Stegostoma tigrinum: one gene and its partner. The protein of the gene in region 1 purifies or fractionates together with the protein of each later gene. This does not show direct contact. Links are inferred from orthologs where the notes say so. Each region holds a gene or a part of one and is shown in the gene's direction. Other genes may lie near its edges.

Evidence for each region.
Region 2: the proteins of slc30a5 (region 1) and slc30a6 purify together in Homo sapiens (co-immunoprecipitation; 5 studies listed by BioGRID and IntAct, with this or other methods). This does not show direct contact. The link is inferred for Stegostoma tigrinum from reciprocal best matches to the Homo sapiens genes SLC30A5 and SLC30A6.

The regions. Positions count from the first base shown.
Region 1 is NC_081356.1:109,704,154-109,713,428, reverse strand, and holds the start of slc30a5 (proton-coupled zinc antiporter SLC30A5), read left to right. Parts: upstream 1-5,656; 5' UTR 5,657-5,989; coding exon 5,990-6,060; intron 6,061-9,275. UniProt on the Homo sapiens protein: Together with SLC30A6 forms a functional proton-coupled zinc ion antiporter mediating zinc entry into the lumen of organelles along the secretory pathway.
Region 2 is NC_081362.1:79,760,313-79,770,459, forward strand, and holds the start of slc30a6 (zinc transporter 6), read left to right. Parts: upstream 1-6,089; 5' UTR 6,090-6,131; coding exon 6,132-6,306; intron 6,307-8,119; coding exon 8,120-8,157; intron 8,158-10,147. Other genes in the region: protein CEBPZOS-like, read right to left, coding at 4,962-5,014. UniProt on the Homo sapiens protein: Has probably no intrinsic transporter activity but together with SLC30A5 forms a functional zinc ion:proton antiporter heterodimer, mediating zinc entry into the lumen of organelles along the secretory pathway.

The DNA.
Region 1 (9,275 bases):
ACAGCCCAATGGCATCAATGTGGACTTCACAAGCTTCAAAATCTCCCCTCCCCCCACTGCATCCCAAAACCAGCCCAGCCTGTCTCTGCCTCCCTAACCTGTTCTTCCTCTCACCCATCCCTTCCTCCCACCTCAAGCCGCACCTCCATTTCCTACCTACTAACCTCATCCCGCCTCCTTGACCTGTCCGTCTTCCCTGTTCTGACCTATCCCCTCCCTACCTCCCAACCTATACTCTCCTCTCCACCTATCTTCTTTTCTCTCCATCTTCAGTCCGCCTCTCCCTCTCTCCCTATTTATTCCAGAACCCTCTCCCCATCCCTCTCTCTGATGAAGGGTTTAGGCCCGAAACGTCAGCTTTTGTGCTCCTGAGATGCTGCTTGGCCTGTTGTGTTCATCCAGCTTCACACTTTGTTATCTTGAGTGAGAATAAGTGTTCTTTTTCAGGGTGATGACCCATGATGTGTGGAGTTTCATGGGGATCAGTGCTGGGAGCACAACTGTTTACAATATAAATTAGTGACTTGGAGGAAGGAAGAGAATGTAGGCAAATTTGCAGACGACACTAACATAGGTGGAAAAACAGATCATGAGAGGAATACAGCAATTCACAAAGATATTGATAGATTAGCTAAATGGGCAAAATGTTAGAATATGGAATATAATATGCAAAAATGTAAAGTTGTTCATTTTGGAATGAAGAACAAAAGAACAGAACATTATTTTGTCCAGACCAAACCCCTTTCAGATATACCTATGAGACAGCTTCGAACCCAACTTTTATCTTATTTAAAGGCAAGTGTAAGGTGCTGTGTTCCAGAACTAATTCGATTGGTTACACTATTCGACTTTAAGCACTTCAGTTTTACACTATAGTTAAAAAAACAAACAAAACAGGAAATGGGATAACTCCGATTCTATTGGAAAACTTAACAGAATAATGGATTTTTTTTAACTACTAAACAGCAACTGTTCCAATACAGTAACATCCAATAGACAAAGCCGTGGTAAAGGCAAATTCAATAAATAAGATTGTTTCATATGTCATGTTTCTTCAGTCCAGGAGGAAAGAACATCAAGAAAAAATTTTGGCGTAGAGACAGTGAACTCAAGCATTTTGTGGTAGCTGGGAGAGATGTATAGCAACTTCCAAACCCTAACTACTGAAAGCTAAACAAAAACCCTGGTTCCGTGGGAGCCTGACCCCACCCATTCAGGCTGCTTCTATTCTTCCAACTTTAAAAAAAACCCAAGGCCTCACAAGCTGTTTGCTTTATTGTCTTGAATCATGCTGCTTTGTATCTCTGTCTCAACCTCTCTTCAAAAGAAAAACTAGAACAAAATACACCATTTAAAGCCATAATATGATCACAATTTAGATGGAGGGAAACTGCAAAAAGCTGAAACACAAAGGCACTTGGGGAATATTTGTGCATGAAACACAGAATCCAAACACACAGGTGTTGCAGGCAATCTGGAAATCTTATGAAATGTTGGCGCTTATTTCAAGGGGATTGGAATATAACAGGAGGAAAGTCTTGCTACAATTGTGCAAGATGCTAGTGAGACCACTTCTGGAGTATTCTATGTAGTTTTGGTCCCCCTAATTAAGGAAAGATATCATTTCATTGGCGGCAGTTCACAGAAGAATCAGTGGGATATCCCTGGAATGGAGAATTAATTGATTAAAAGATTAATCAAGTTGGGACTCTACTCATTGGTATGTAGAAGAATGAGAGGTGTTCTCATTGAAACAGATAGGTTTCTTAAGGGGCTTAACAGGACAAATGCTGAAAGAATATTTTCCTTCATTTAGAAGTCTAACATAAGAGGACATAGTCTTAGAATAAAGGGTGTCAATTTAAAACTGAGGTAAAGAGGAATTTCTTCTCTGACAGTTGAGAATCTTTGGAACTCCTTGGCCATATTTAAGGCTGAGATAGGTAGATTCTTGATCAATAGGAGAATGAAGGGTTATGGGGAAAGAGAAGGAAAGTGAATATGAGGAATGGTGTCAGATCCTATTGTACGGGGGAGCAAGCTCAATGGCCTGAACGGCTTACTCCTATTTCTATTTCTAATGGTCTTATGGACTCCCTCCTAAACAGCACTGTGTACTGAAGCTCACCTTCATCATCTTAAGGACGGCTCAAAATGGGCAACAAATGCTGATATAGCCAATCTGCGAGTCACTGTAAATGTTAAATTAGACAAAATATCATGCTGGTAGTAAAATTTGCATATTCTTCTGTCAGTCATTCAATATTACTTTAATACTTCTGGCTTTGTACTTTCAGCCTTCTGCAGAGTTCGGGGATAATTCTGATTATGTGAAGACTTTTAAAACGTGAGATAGTAAATCTGAGTTCATACTTCAAGCTTAGAGAATCTGAGATAACAAGGTGTAGAGCTGGATGAACACAGCAGGCCAAGCAGAATCAGAGGAGCAGGAAAGCTGAAGCTTTGGGCCAGATAATAAAATGTGAGGCTGGATGAACACAGCAAGCCAAGCAGCATCCCAGGAGCATAAAAGCTGACGTTTCGGGCCTAGACCCTTCATCAGAGAGGGGGATGGGGTGAGGGTTCTGGAATAAATAGGGAGAGGGGGGAGGCGGACCGAAGATGGAGAGAAAAGAAGATAGGTGGAGAGGAGAGTTTAGGTGGGGAGGTAGGGAGGGGATAGGTCAGTCCAGGGAAGACGGACATGTCAAGGAGGTGGGATGAGGTTAGTAGGTAGGAGATGGAGGTGCGGCTTGGGGTGGGAGGAAGGGATGGGTGAGAGGAAGAACAGGTTAGGGAGGCAGAGACAGGTTGGACTGGTTTTGGGATGCAGTGGGTGGAGGGGAAGAGCTGGGCTGGTTGTGTGGTGCAGTGGGGGGAGGGGACGAACTGGGCTGGTTTTGGTCTGAAGAAGGGTCTAGGCCCAAAGCATCAGCTTTCCTGCTCCTATGATGCTGCTTGGCCTGCTGAGTTAATCCAGCTCCACGCCTTGTTATCTCATACTTCAAGCAGCTCCATTCAGGCACCACAGATTCTGTTCTAAAATTTCAATCCAACACAATTCAGTCATTTGGTAATTCATCATTAGTAGAAAAATGACAGGCTTGAGACCTCTCAAGCAACCTGGGCAAAACAAAATATTGAATTCCCAAGAGGACGAGAAAGGAATTAAAATGGGGGCAAGATTTATCTTAATATGTTAGAATAATTTTACGGAAAAATATTTAGGAGGAGACTAGTTCCAATATTACTTCCTTCCTCCCAAACCTGTTTGGGAACTTGGTAAAGCAGCTTGTTTGTTGGTTGCACTCCAGGCAATAAATGCTGATCTAGCCAGCGACGCCAACATCCCATAACAAGTAATTTAAAAAGATACATTTTGATTGATGATTTGGTTATAGCTGATGGTGGCGGAGGGGTTGGATGCTTGTGGGTGGATGCAAGTAGGCTGCTTTGTCCTGAATAAAAGCCAGACTTCTTGAATGTTGTCAGACCTACACTCATCCAAACAAGTGGAGAACTGCAAATGCTGTAAATCAGGAACAAAAACAAAGTTGTTGGAAAAGCTCAGCTGGTCTGGCAGCATCTGTGAAGGGAAAAACAGAGTTAATGTTTCGGGATAACAAGGTGTGGAGATGGATGAACACAGCAGGCCAAGCAGCATCTTAGGAGCAGGAAAGCTGACGTTTCAGGCCTAGGCCCTTCAACAGAAATGGGGGAGGGGAAGTGGGTTCTGAAATAAGTAAGGAGAGAGGAGGAGGCGGACAGAAGATGGATAAAGGAGAAGATAGGTCGAGAGGAGACAGACAAATTAAAGAGGTAGGGATGGAGTCAGTAAAGGTGAGGTCAAAGGGGCGGGATGAGGTTAGTAGGTAGGAAATGGGGGTGTGGCTTGAGGTGGGAGGAGGGGATAGGTGAGAGGAAGAACAGGTTAGGGAGGCGGGGGCGAGCGGGGCTGGTTTTGGGATGCTGTTGGGGGAAGGGAGATTTTGAAGCTTGTGAAATCCACATTGATACCATTGGGCTGCCGGGTTCCCAAGCGGAATATGAGTTGCTGTTCCTGCAACCTTCAGGTGGCATCGTTGTGGCACTGCAGGAGGCCCAGGATGGACACGTCGTCTGAGTAATGGGAGTTGGAATGGTTAGCAAATGGGAGGTACAGTTGTTTATTGCAAACCGAGCGTAGGCGTTCTGCAAAGCGGTCCCCAAGCCTCCGCTTGCTTTCCCCAATGTAGAGGAGGCCACAACGGGAACAGCGGATGCAGTATGCCACACTGGCAGATGTGCAGGTGAACTTCTGCTTGATGTGGGGCCTGGGATGTGGATGAGGGAGGAGGTGTGGGGACAGATGTAGCACTTCCTGCGGTTGCAGGAAAAAGTACCGGGTGTGGTGGGGTTGGAGGGGAGTGTGGAGTGGACAAGGTAGTCACGGAGAGAATGATCTCTCCGGAAAGCAGACAAGGGTGGGTAGGGGAAAATGTCTTTGGTGGTGGGGTCAGATTGCAGATGGCAGCAATGTCGGAGGATGATGCATTGTATCCGAGGTTGGTGGGGTGGTACGTGAGGACGGGGGGGATTCTGTTTTGATTGTTATTGTGGGGAAGGGGTGTGAGGAATGAAATGCGGGAGACACTGTCGATGATGTTCTTCACCACTGAGGAGGGGAAAGTTGCAGTCCTTGAAAAACGAGGACATCTGGGATGTGCGGGAGTGAATGCTTCATCCTGGAAGCAGATGCGGCGGAGGCGGAGGAATTGGGAATAGGGGCTGGAATTTTTGCAGGAGGGTGGGTGGGAGGAGGTGTATTCTAGGTAGCTGTGGGAGTCGGTGGGCTTGAAATGGATATCGGTTTGTAGGTGGTTCCCCGAGATGAGACAGAGAAGTCCAGGAAGGTGAGGGAGGTGTTAGAGATAGTCCAGGTGAAGTTGCTAGTGACCCTTCCTCACAACAATGTGTTCATTGGAAGAACCCACATTGACTGTATGGGCCGAATTGACACCATCTGCACTGTGACTAATTCTGTCATTTCAACATTAGTCTTCAACCCACTGCTGACTCTTTCTGAGAGCAAATCGAAACTTAATCTCGCTGCCCGTTGTTCTGGAGAATGGAAAGAGAAAATACTTCCTACCAAGACGCAGTTAGAAACAAGCCTAACAAAGTGTGAGGCTGATTGAACACAGCAGGCCAAGCAGCATCTCAGGAGCACAAAAGCTGACGTTTCGGGCCTAGACCCTTCATCAGAGAGATCCTCAGACATCCTCTCTGATGAAGGGTCTAGGCCCGAAACGTCAGCTTCTGTGCTCCTGAGATGCTGCTGGGCCTGCTGTGTTCATCCAGCCTCACATTTTATTATCTTGGATTCTCCAGCATCTGCAGTTCCCATTATCATAGAAACAAGCGTATTGCACAGAACCCGGCCTTCCAGCAGGAGGCGCAGGCACTCAGCAGGGGGCGGAATGCGGGGAGGCACGGGCGGTGGCGGTCGGCAGGGGGCGGAATGCGGGGAGGACCGGGCGGTGGCGGTCGGCAGGGGGCGGAATCCGAGGAGGACCGGGCGATGGCGATCGGCAGGGGGTGGAATGCGGGGAGGACAAATCGGTGGCGGTCGGCAGGGGGCGGAATGCGGGGAGGACAAATCGGTGGCGGTCGGCAGGGGGCGGAATGCGGGCAGGATCAGCCGGTGACGGTCAGCAGGAAGCGGTTTGCTGGGAGTTCCTGTCCCCCGGTTGCTAGGCTGATTAATCGTGCGGCGGTTGATTGAGGGTCAGTGCCGGTGCGGAATTTGCTGATCCTCCCCGTACACACCCACCGGCTTCCGGGAAGCTGGAGCGCGGTCTCGGTCCGTTTTACTGGACGTGGCTGGCGTCTCGGCTAGTTTCGACATTAGAGCCGCCGGTTTCGGGCCTGTGACTGTGGCGGCGAGGAGCAGTTCCCTGGGGAATGATGTGAGGAGGAAGAGGCGGTGAGATCGTGCGCTGGGTGAAGGATGGAGGATAAATACACCAACAACATCATCTCCAGCACCAGGCTGGGCCCTGTGGATGCACCCAGCTCCAGGTAAATGTGTCCCGGGACTGTCAGTGAGCCGATCAGTCAAAATATCAGGAGCGCCAACGGACTACATAGGACGGAACACGTTTTCTTAACAAAGTGGTCAATTACCAGAGGTAATAGATTGCAGAGTGAGAGGGAAACTGAGTAATTTATTCACCCAAAGGGTAGTAGCGATTGGAACTCCCTAAAAAGCTCTTGGAGCTGGAACGTCTCATTGCATTCAACCACATCACTTTGATATACACATGATCCCCCCCCCGCCCCGTCAAAATCCCAGGCCTTATCTTTCCTGAAACGTCAGCTTTTGTGCTCCTGAGATGCTGCTTGGCCTGCTGTGTTCATCCAGCCTCACATTTTATTATCTTTAAACTGTACTGGGCATGACTAAAGATGCAGTTCTCAAATTTAAACAGGTGTGGAAAAATTGATTTGCAGATTTAGAGTTTTCTCATCTACTTCATGACTGTTGTTGGTATTGGGATAGCAGGGTTAATATTCTGTATACTTTTAAAACAAAATGTTGGCATGATCCAAAATTCTGCATGTTCTATTTCTGCTGCTCAATTTCTGTGAGGGTTATGAGGAGTAAAGTAGGAGACAGCATTGTTTTTAAATTTATGAATATTTATTTATATTTATTAGTCAGTTTTAAATTATGTAGGATTCGATACTGTCTTGTAAAATATTAAATAATTATGACTGCATTTAGTTTAAAGTAGCACAGTGATTAAAAGCTACCTTAAAAGAATGAGTCTGACAGCATCTGTGAAGAAAAATCATGTTACTGTTTCATGGCCAGTGTCCCTTCCTCAGAACTGATGGTAGCTAGGAAAATGTCAGTTTATATTCCAGAAGATAGGTTGGGGGGTGGTGGTAAGGAGTAAATGTCAGATAGGAATAGAGCCCAAAGTGACAGAGGAACAGTTGGACAGTCAAAGGAGTTGATAATGATCTGGCTGGGAGGGTGAATTGTTGTTAACGGGGACTGTTAGTAACGAACAATTGGTAGTGTCTAATGACAGGCTATGTGATAACAAGGCCTGGGGTGGGGGCTAGGACATGGGAGATTTTAGGCCCTAAGATTATTGAACTTGATTTTGAGTCTGGAGGGCTTCAGGGTCCCCAAATGGAAAATGACATGTTCTTCCAGCTTGTGGTGTGCTTCACTGGAACACTGCAGCAAGCCTGAGACACAGATATTGGTTAGGGAACAGGGTGTTGTGTCAAGGTGGTAGGCAACTGGAAGCTCAGGATCTCTTCTGTGGGCAGAATGTGGGTGTTTTGCAAAGCGGCCATCCAGCCTACCCTTCGTTTCCCTGGTATAGAGGAGACCACATTCTGAGCAGTGAATACAGTAGACTAGATTGTGGGAAATGCAGGTAATGTGCTGCTTCACCTGGATGATATGTTTGGGCCTTTGGAAACTAGGGTGGGAAGAGGTAAGTGGGGTAGGTATTACACCTACAGCAGTTGCAAGGGAAGGTGCTGTGGGCAGGTGTTGGGAGTGAAGGAAGACTGGACCACGGTGCCCCAGAGGGAACGGTCTGTGCGGACAATGGAGGGGAGGTGTGGGGGGCGCGGGGGATATGTGTCTGTTGGTGGTATCTCACTGGAGGTGGTGGAAATGGTGCTGATGATCTTCTGGATGTGGATGCTGGGGGTGGTAGATAAGGACAAGGGGTCCCCTGTTGCTGTTCTGGGAGGGAAGAGAGGGGTTAAATGCAGAAGTGTGGGAGATGGGCCAGAGGACTCTTTCAACAACGATGCTGAAGAATCCAAGGTTGAGGAAGAAGATTGACACTGGAGCCTCCGAAATGTCTATGTTGGCATCATCTGAAAATATGTGACAGAGTCGGAAGAACTGAGAGAATAGAATGGAGTCTTTACAAGAAGAAGAGTGCAAGGATATATAGATCAGGTAGCTGTGGAAGTCAGTCGGTTTATAGTGGATATTAGTGGCCAGTCTATTCCCAGAAATTGAAACAGATAACGAGGAAGTGAAAGGAGGAGTCAGAGATAGACCAAGTGAAAGTGAGGGCAAGGTGGAAATTGGAAGCAGAATCAATGAACGTTTCCAATTCCAGATGAGAGAGGGAAGCAGCACCGATGATATCATCGATATAGCAGAGAAAGTGTTCCGGGTGGTGGCCAGAATAGGACTGGAGCAAGGAATGTTCCACGTACCTCACAAAGAGACAGGCATAACTGGGACCCATGTAGGTGCCCATGGCCACCCCTCTGGCCTGAAGAAAATGAGAGGAGTTGAAAAGTTGTTGAGGGTAAGGATGAGCTTGGCCAAGTAGAGGGTGGCGGTGGGTAGGAACAATTCAGGCCTTTGCTCCAGGAAGAAGCGGAGAACCCTGAGACCATCGTGGTGGGGGATAGACCTGTAAAGGGATTGCACATCTATGGTAAAGAAGAGATGGCAGCAGCCACTTCTGAAACTGGCATAAAGTGTCAGAGGATTCACAAATGTATGTTAGCAGGGACTGGACAGGAGAGAAAAGACTGAGTCAAGGTAGGAACAGATGAGTTCTGTGGGGCAGGAGCAGGCTGACACAATAGATCTGCCAGGCAATCCTATTTGTGGATTTTTGAAAGGAGGTAGAAGCAAGCTGTGCGGGGCTGGGGGCCTGTCAGCTTGGAGGCAGTGGGGGATGAGAGATAACCTGGATGAAATGAGATCAGTTACCTGATATGCCATGGTGAGGTCATTGTACTTATCTCTTCCTGCCTTGACTCGGTCTTTGGCAGGGACTGAACCAGGGGAGAAAAGGCTGCACATATCTTAACATCTAACAGAGAAATAATGGCATAAACCCAAGGGTAGGTAAGAATTTCTTTTATGCAGCAAGTGATTATGACCTGGAACAAAAACAAAGTTGCTGGAAAAGCTCAGCAGGTCTGGCAGCATCTGTGAAGGAGAAAACAGAGTTAACATTTTAGGTCCGGTGACCCTTCCTCAGGTTATGACTTGGAATGCATTGTCTAAGAGGGAATTGAATGACAACTTTTGAGAGGGAATTGGGAACACTTGTAAATTTTGCACGACTGTAAGTGGCAAGGGAGTGCAGCTTATTAGATAGCTCCTTTCAAAGAGAAGACCGATGGGCTGAAGAGCCACTTTCTGTATCATTCTTAGAGGCTAAGAATGTTGTGCATTGGGAATTTTGAAAGGATTAACTATAATGTTCAATGTATAAATAATAAAATGTTTC
Region 2 (10,147 bases), on another chromosome or scaffold:
CCTCGACTCTCCCATGAAGGGAACATCCTCTCAGCATTTACCTTGTCAAGCCCCTTAAGAATCCTACATCTTCAACGACCTTTCATTTTTTCCTAAATTCCGAGTACAACGCCAACCTCTAACTTTTATTCATAAGATGATCCCTCCATACCAGGGATCATAGAACATAGAATAATACAGCGCAGAACAGGCCCTTCCGACCTTGATGTTACGCCGACCTGTGAACTAATCAAAGCCCATCCCCCTACACTATCCCTACAAATATTCTCTCAACTGCCTTCAATGAAATAATATCTTTCCTTAAATAAGGAAAACTGCTCTCAGGACTGCAGATACACTCTCACCAGCGCCTTGTACAATTGCTGTAAATCCTCCCTACTCTTAAACCTCTTGAAATAAGGGCTAACATCCATTAGCCATTCTGATGACCTTCTGCACTTGTGCTAGCTCTGTTTTTCATGCACAAGTACCTCCAATTCTTAGTTCTCATTCTCCCTTTCAAAATTAATCACCTCACATTTTACCATAATATAATCCATTTGCCAACTTCTTCCCAACTTATCCTATCAATACCTCTACGTAAACTTCTTTATCCTTCTCAGGATTTGCTTATCTCTAAAGTATGATTCTATGTATATGACTGTCCCTGACACCATGATTACTACCCCTGGATACATCCTGTTGCACCAGCAGGATAGGCTCAGCAGAGGTGGCAACACAATAGCACATAGTTGGGACCAGCCCTGGGAGTCCTCAATATTTCCATGAGACTTCATGATGGCTGAGTCACTGGTTCAAACACAGGCAAGGAAACCTCCTACTAATTAACACATATTTTCCTCCCTTGAATTGTCCTCCAAGTTGAAAACACTTGGAGGAAACATGGAGGATAGCAGGGGTGCAGAATGTACTCCTAGTGATGGTCATTGAAATTTCCCAACCAGTGACTTGGCAACTGTATGACTGATCAAGCTAAACGACAATGGCACAGATGGTGAGGGAATCAAAATGAGAGAAAAACATACTTAAACTCATCCTCAGCAATACGTCTGTCACAAATGCACATGGATACATAAGGCATTGGTTACAGCAAAAGAAAATGGACCCTGACAACCTTCCAGCAATAGCACTGAAGACTTGTGCTCCAGAACTTGCTGCACCCCTTGTCAAGCTTTTTCCGGTACAATTACAATACTGGCAACTACCTGATAATGTAGAAAATTGCCCAGGTACATGCTGTACACCAAAAAAGCAGGTCAAATCCAACCTGGCCAATTAATGCCCCATCAGTTGACTCTCAAAATGATGGATGATGCTATCAAATGTTATCTGTTCATTGGCACGCTGTTTGCTGTACTCCCAGGGCCATTTGACTCCTCACCTCATTCCAAGCTTAACTCAAACATGTACAATTGCGCTGAAATCCAAAGAGGAGGTGACAGTACATGCTCTTGCTATTGAGGCCATGTGACTGACTATGGCATCAAGGAGCATGAACAAAACCGGAATAAGGGGGAAAACTCTCCGCTGGCTAGGGTCATACTTGGTCCAATGGAAGAGGGTTGTGGTTCTTTGGAAGTCATCGCTGTGGTTTGTCAGGGTAGGTATTTCTAATTAACCGGTTCAGAGATGCTATTACACGCCTCTGGTATAGGTGGGACTCGAGCCTGGGCTTCCTGACCCAGAAATATGGATACCAATGCACAAGAGCTCTAGTTCCACAGGGTAGTGTCCTAGGTCCAACCATCTTCATCAATGACATTCCCACTATAAAGGTCAGAAGTAGAAATGTTCACCGATGTTTGCATAATACTGAGGTGTTGTTTGTGACTCCTCAGACACTGAGGAAGTCCATGTTCAAATGCAGCAAGACTGAGACAATATTCAGGCTTTGACTGAAAAGGGCAACTAGCATTTCACCACACAAATGCTAGTCAATGACCATCTCCAGTAAGGTACAATCTAACCACTGCCCCTTGACATTCAATAGAAATACCATCACTAAATCCCCCACTATCAACATCCTGGGGGTTACCATTGACCAAAAACTGAACTGGGCTCATCATACAAATACAGTGGCTACAAAAGCCAGTCAGGGCCTGAGAATTCCGCAGCAAGTAACTCACCATCTGACTCTCCAAAGCCTGTCCACCAACTACAAGGCACAAGTCAGGAGTGTGATGGAATATTCCTACTTGGCTGGATGAGTGCAGCTCCAACAACACAAGAACCTTGAGACCACCCAGGATAGAGCAGCCACTTAATTAGCACCCCATCCACAAGCATCCACTCCCTCTGGCACCGATGTTCAGGAGCAAGAATGTATACAGTCTACTGTCAAAATACACTAAAGCTCCTGAGACATCATCTTCCAAACCCAAGACCGCTTCCATATGGAAGGACAAAATACCTAAAAAATCACCACCTGCAAAATTCCACTCCAAGCCACACACCATCCCAACATAGAAATATTTCTTTGTTCCTTCAGTGTTGTTGGGTTAAAATTCTGAATTCATTTCCTAACAGCATTGTAGGCCTATATAGAGCACTAGGACTAAGACTGTTCAAGGCAACTCATTGCTACCTTTTCAAGGCAACCAAGGTTGGGAATTAATGCTGGTCCAGGCAGTGAATAATGAGGGTATAGTTCAGATGTAGAGCATTTGACTGCAGATCAAGAGGTCCCTAATTCAAATCTGGGAGCCCCCTTCAGATAGGCTCCTTTGGTGAACGTGAACTGTATCACAATTTGTCTTTCAACTTGCTTAAATCAGACTGCATGCATATTGGATGGGGTGTTCCTGCTGATGTTAAGTTATTTCGGATGGTACAGTGGTCTCTGCTGCTGCTTCACAACACCCAGGATTCAGGTTCAATTCCAGCCTTGGATGACTTTGTGGGGTTTGCACATTCTCCCCATGCCTGCATGGGTTTCCTCCCACAGTTCGATGACAGGCATGTTAGGTGGACTGGCCATGCTAAATTCTCCCATAGTGTCCAGGGATGTACAGGCTATTCAAAGTTTTGGCAAAGATCAGTACCTTGGGTTGTGGGTGAGGTTGTTGGCTTGCTCACCAAGCTGGCTTGTTCTCGCTCAGATGTTTCATCGCCTAGCTTGGTGATGAAACGTCTTAATGAAAACCAGCCAGCTCAGCGAGCAAGCCAACGACTTCATGTGCAGGCTAGGTGTATTAGCTACGGTAATTGTGAGGTTACGAGGATAAGATAGTGTGGACAGGTCTGATGGGATGCTGTTTGGCAGGTTTTTGCAGACTCGATAGGCCAAATGGCCTCTTTATGGAATGTATGGATTCTTTGATTCCTCCATCCCATGAAATGGCTGGACAGCTGGTTTGCAATGCAGAGTAATGGCAACAGTGCGGGTTCAATTGCCATACCAGCTGAGGTCACCATGGGGGCCATCTTTAAAAAGGGGAAGCAGTGGCCTAGTGGTATTATTGCTGGACTATTAATCCAGAGACTCAGGCTCTGTGTACCTGGCCTTGGACTGCCACCACAGCAGATGAAGTTTGAATTCAAATAAGAGAAAAATTTAAAAACCTTCTCTAGGCCACAATTCTTCCTCAACCCACAAGCAACATTCCCTAATCTTCTTGTTTCAGAAGATTTAATATCAGTTTCTAACTTCACCGTGACAGCAGTGAAGTCAACCCACCAGAAACTTCGCGTCTTAGCTTCTGCTCCCATTGTCTTCCCAATCAGTTCACGCAAGTTGATGCCAATAGCATGTAATCTTCTTCAACCATATCTTCATATATGAAATTCTGCAATATGATCCTCTCCAATTGGTCCTTAAACTTTAATAATGTAACACAATTGAGTCAACTCAATGGATGTGGAAGCTTTGGAAAGGGTGCAGAGGAGATTTACTAGGATGTTGCCTGGTATGGAGGGAAGGTCTTACGAGGAAAGGCTGAGGGACTTGAGGCTGTTTTCGTTAGAGAGAAGAAGGTTGAGAGGTGACTTAATTGAAACATATAAAATAATCAGAGGGTTAGATAGGGTGGATAGGGAGAGCCTTTTTCCTAGGGTGATGACGGCAAGCACGAGGGGGCATCGCTTTAAATTGAGGGGTGAAAGATAAAGGACAGATGTCAGGTAGTTTCTTTACTCAGTAGTACAGGAATGGAACGCTTTGCCTGCAACAGTCGTAGATTTGGCAAGTTTAAGTACATTTGAGTCGTCATTGGATAAGCATATGGATGTACATGGAATAGTGTAGGTTAGATGGGCTTCAGATCAGTATGACAGGTCAGCACAACATTGAAGGCCGAAGGGCCTGTACTTTGCTGTAATGTTCTATGTTCAATGTAACTATTGTAAGGTTCTCAGCAACATTTTCACTAATTTTCATAAAGAGCTCCAATTTTGTCAAACAATCTTATCCTGAGATGATTACTGCTAACAATTGCACAGATTCCAAATAATTGATAATGATATTCTTTGCTTATTTTTAAAGCTGAACAATCCTGTTACACACCTATCTCCATGGCCTTGTCCAAATAAACCATCTTGCAATTTAAGTTTTCCAACTGTGTTTGTTTGGTCTCTTCCCAATTTTAAACACCATTGTCAAAGATTGAAGAGCTCATAATTTCTCTCCACTAATGCTGCTAGACCTGCTGAAATTTTCCAGCATTTTCTGTTTTACTTCATATAATCTCACCAACCACAAGAACGCCCTGAAAGGTATCCGCTGATTATATTCTCAGCAAACCCACCAATAACGTTTCACACTACTCCACCCTGACAGTTCACATTTAGGTATTTAGTAAAGGTTGGCTGTTAAAATATCAATGCATACTATGCACTGTTACAAAAAAACAAAGCAGCAGACCTAACTGCAATATCACAACTTATGTATAATTATATCGAAAGTGTCAATGGTCAGTACGTATCCTGTAACTGGAAACACTAAATATTCAATATTCAAACGATACCCAGAGACACGAACAACGGATACCAAAAACCTGGAATGACATCCTGTTCCCATGAAGAACAGCGTGCGGCTGTTTTAATAGCACCCGACCCTTCACTATCACACTCACCTTCACAAGTCACTGCAGCTCTGGGACGGATCCTGAGTCTGCGCACTTTACTTGTTAGCCGTGGAGGACACCGTACCGACCCTAACGCGTTTGAACTGTTTCGAATTCCGTGCTCCTGACAGAGCTGCCTGTACCTCCTCCCACCATATCACTTGTCCTGGTTTTGTCAACCGTTGTGGCTGGACCCGGCTGTTCAGGAAAAATAAGAGTCAGTTCAATCAGTAATATTTTAACAGGATCTCAGCAATAAAAACGCCCGCTTGTTTTACTGAAGTTTACCTCACAACTTGTTCGCAAAAACCTTGCTTCACAAATCCTCAATACCGAACAGTTTCATCAATGTTTTCAGGATACAGTATGGGATCCCAATGCATTTTAAACACTCTGCTAGTAGACGAAAATCCTGTTGACAGTCCGAAAACTTTTTTTAAAATCTAGTTTGAACGAAAATACTCTTGCCCTGTCCCCTCAAAGTAATTTAAAATATTATCATTTGCTGCTGCATAGTTTGCAAAATTCATTATTTACAATGTGGGCGAACTCTTTTTCTTGGTTGCAGCTTGCAAACCCAGTTTGATGGTTGTCTTCCCTTGTCCCCGGCAGCTAGTTAGCAAGCTGTAGAGTTTCCCGAGTGAGCTTAAGAACCGTCAGTACAAACAGCAAGAGATAGTAGGAACTGTAGATGCTAGAGAATCTGAGATAACAAGGTATAGAGCTGGATGAACGCAGCAGGCCAAGCAGCATCAGAGGAGCAGGAAGGCTGACGTTTCGGGTCTGGACCCTTCTGAAGATTTCTGACACACCTTGTCATCTCAGTACAAACAGCAATATGTGTTAAAGGAAACGTCCCCATGTCAACACATTTTCTATCTCTAGACCAGAAGTGATGAGTGCAAAAGTAAATATGGATGTATTTGGGGAGGCGGTGTATTTTGGGTAAACGAAGTTTGCACGGGCTGTAAAGAAGGGTTTTGTTGACTGGCATTGTCCGCGTGACGGCGGGGGGATGGACCAGCTTTAACAGTCCGTGGGGGCGGGGCCGAATCGAGCAGGCGGCGGAAGATGGCGGAAGACACGTCTCGGTACCTGAGCGGGGACTATTACCCTCGCAAATTCGGGCCCAAGCCCGATGTGGTCCCCTCGGGGGTGACCGAGAGGAAGGTCTTCCCGTTCAACATCGGCCTGGACAAGCCGGACATGGTGGCGGTGGATGTGGTGAATGTGAAGGAGGAGGAAGGTTAGAGCAAAGTGGTGGGGGGGAAAGCAGACTAAGGAAAACTCCTTTACTGTGTCCCCGACACTCCCTTACCTCCCCACAGCTCCCTCCCCCCCCGTCCCCCCCCTCCCTCCCCCCCCGTCCCCCCCCCTCCCTCCCCCCCCCGTCCCCCTCCCCCCCCGTCCCCCTCCCCCCCCCGTCCCCCCCCCGTCCCCCTCCCCCCCCCGTCCCCCTCCCCGTCCCCCTCCCCCCCCCGTCCCCCTCCCCGTCCCCCTCCCCCCCCCGTCCCCCTCCCCGTCCCGTCCCCCTCCCCCCCCCTCCGCCTCCCCTCCGTCCCCCCCCTCCCTTCTCCTCCCCCCCCCCCGTCGTCGTCCCCCGTCGTCCCCCCCCCCCGTCGTCCCCCCCCTCCCCCCCCCTCCCCCCCCTCCCCCCCCGTCCCCCCGTCCCCCCCGTCCCCCCCGTCCCCCCCGCCCCCCCCCGTCCCCCCCCCCGTCCCCCCCCCCCCGTCCCCCCCCCCCGTCCCCCCCCCGTCCCCCCCCCCCCCGTCCCGTCCCCCGTCCCCCGTCCCCCCCCGTCGTCCCCCCCCCCGTCTCCCCCCCCGTCCCCCGTCCCCCCCCCGTCGTCGTCCCCCCCCGTCGTCGCCCCCCCTCGCCCGTGTCCCCCCTCCCTCCCCCGTCCCCCCTCCCCCGTCCCCCCTCCCCCGTCCCCCCTCCCCCGTCCCCCCTCCCCCGTCCCCCCTCCCCCGTCCCCCCTCCCCCTCTCCCCTCCCCCTCTCCCCTCCCTCCCCCTCTCCCCTCCCTCCCCCTCTCCCCTCCCTCCCCCTCTCCCCCCCCCGTCCCCGACGACGGGGGGGGGGGGACGGGACGGGGGGGGGGGATGTATCAAGGGGCGGTGTGGACTTGTTGGGCCAAAGGGCCTGTTTCCACACTGTAGGTATGCTAACCTAATCTAATCTAATCATTGATGATTTCTGCGACTGAGTTGTTTTAATTAGACATTCATATCGAATTTTAGTGGTGTGATTACTCCACTGACTGATTTATTGAAGATTTGCAGAAAATCATAGTGGGCAGAGACATCAGAAGGCATTTGACAGCCTGAAAGCTGTATTAACCCCTGCCCCAGTGTTAGCTACACCAAATTATGCAAACCCATTCAAGGTGGTGGTTGATGTGGGTGTCAATGCTGTGCTCTTGCATGAAGATAAGAATATAGAAAGCTCTGTTGGGTATTTTGCCGGAACATTGAATAATCTTCGACAAAAATATTCCGCAATTGAGAAGGAGACCTTGAGTTTAGTGTTCATCCAGCCTCACATTTTATCTTGGAATTCTCCAGCATCTGCAGTTCCCATTATCTCTTATCCTTGAGCTTAGTGTTGGCTTTGTAACATTTCAACACATATCTTTCCAATAGTGTGTCTGAGACCACGCTATATACTGCTCTTAACTATTTAAAGTTTTTAGGAAAATTTAAGGATAAAAAGACCAGACTGTTTAGATCGAGCTTATTATTGCCTGGTGGTTATCTTTATCATCCCTGGTGCTTTCATTCAGATTTTGCTTAGCTGCCATTCAAAAAAAGGTAAATGCAAAGTTGATGTTTTCGATATACAGCATTACAATAAGCTTTGAAAAGTAGAAAGGAGCACCCAAATATGAAAATCTAATATTATTATAAAAACTCATCCAATAGTGGGTTATTTGTGATATGTTAAAGATGTATGTTCCTATAGTATTTGACCTACTTAAGTCATTTAAAATGTTCCTATTAAAATGTGTTTTAAATGACCTTCATAAATATTTATATATCTTGATCAATGTTGATCTTCCAGGCTACAAGAGAAAACTAGATACCAGTACTTATCTTTTGGTAAGTCCACTGTTTAACATGGTCTGATTTCTCCTTGTTCTTTATTCAAACACAACTTGAGTGAATTAGGAATCTACTTTCTGACTATGGTGTCTGAGGAAACTTGTGTCAAAATAATGACTGGAAACTCAGGACACTACTCGCATCTTAACTGATGGCGTCTAACTTTTTTTAAAGTGTTAATTAATTGTACTTTTGAGTATTGCTTTAAATTTGTTTCATGAACAGAAACACCATTTTGAAATCTTTCATGTTAATTAGATGGCACAGGGATGAAGGCTTACCATTTGTATTGTAGACAGTCATTAAAAGAAATTTGGAGATCTGTAACAGTAGCATAGAGTGATAAGATGTAAGATTGTTATTACTGTTTCTAATAAACAATAGATTATTGACCTTAGTGGTGGCAAGGCTTTCCCCTTTGCAGAGGATTGGAGGAAGAGTCAATCAAACAGTTCGTACAATTAGGAACAAAATACAGATGTTAGAAATCTGAAATAAAAACAGAAAATGCTGGAGAAACCTGGATCGTTTGACAACATCTATGGACCAAGAAACAGAATTAAGGCGTTTCCAATTTCAAAATGCCCGACGGAGGTTACCATCTTCCTCCAATGCTAACAATTCTGTCCTGGCCTGTGGCAGTGTTCCACTGACATTTAACGTGAGCTGTAGTAACAGAAACTCATTGACTACTTAGGCACCCTATAGCCTCTAAATGTAAAAGTTGAATTCAACAACTTCAGAACAGAAGGTTGGTCTTTCATTTTGATGACAATTCCTATCCTCCCCACCTTGTTTGTAACTTGTTAGCATTGATTTTTATCCTTTACTCACCTATTCATGCCTGTTCTACATCTCAAACACTTCTTTACCACCATTAACACTCCCTTTATCTTTTGTTCTGGGCACCCTCCCCATCTGTACCACTTGCTTTTCCTTTGTCAACGGCATAAAACAAGCTTTTCCATTTCCATTCAATTCAGACAAGAGTGATATCAGGTTCCGAAATATTAGCTCTGTTTCTCTTTTCAAAGATGCTGCCGGGCTTGTTGAGTTTCTTCAGCATTTTCTTTTTTGATTTAAAACAATTTGTGTGTTCATTCTCAAATTAAAACAGTGCTGGAAAAGGTCAGCAGGTGTGGCAGCATTTATGGAGAGAAATCAGAGTTAACGTTTCATGTCCAATGATCCTTTGTCAGAACCTGAAACGTTAACTCTGATTTCTCTCCACGTATGCTGCCAGACCTTCTGAGCTTTTCTAGCAATTTCTGGTTTTCTTTCTGATTTCCATAAATGCAGTTCTTTTGGTTTATTGTGCGTTCATTCTGTTTGCTAATCGTATGCATTGGTCTACAATTAAATAAGCTGGCTTTAAAAAGTATATATCTGTTCATTCTCTGCGTTGATCAGTGAACAGATGACATCGGATTTTATATTATTAGGTCTTGGGTTGTGTGCTACCCTCTGTGTTTCTTCTTAGTGGTGTTCAACATGGAGAAGCACTAATTCATTAACGGTGGTGAGGGAAATAGGTGATAATCAGTTGGATATTTCTTTGCCCAAAATTGACCTGATGCAATGAAACTACATGTGGCTTGGAGTTAATGTTGACTCTCAAGCCACACACTCCTGATAGCCCAGCAGATGTGGCAGCACTATGTTCCTTCTGTTTTCTCCAGCCACTCTACAGACTTCCATGGTCCATGTGCAGCAGTGGCAGAGAACTGGAATGAATGCATCAGAACACCGAGTGGCCCTTCGCATCAACTGCATAGCTTAGAGGGTGCATTCCTGCAGAATCTGTCCTGCCACCTGGACAGAACATTAACCAGGAATGGCACTGGAGAATCTTGGGGCATTGGCTGTGAAGAATTGATCGATTAATTAATTTATTGTCACGTGTACCGAAATACAGTGAAAAGTTTTGTTTATGAGCCATACAGGCAGGTCACAGGAAGCAAAGGATTTATGGATTTAGAGACATATA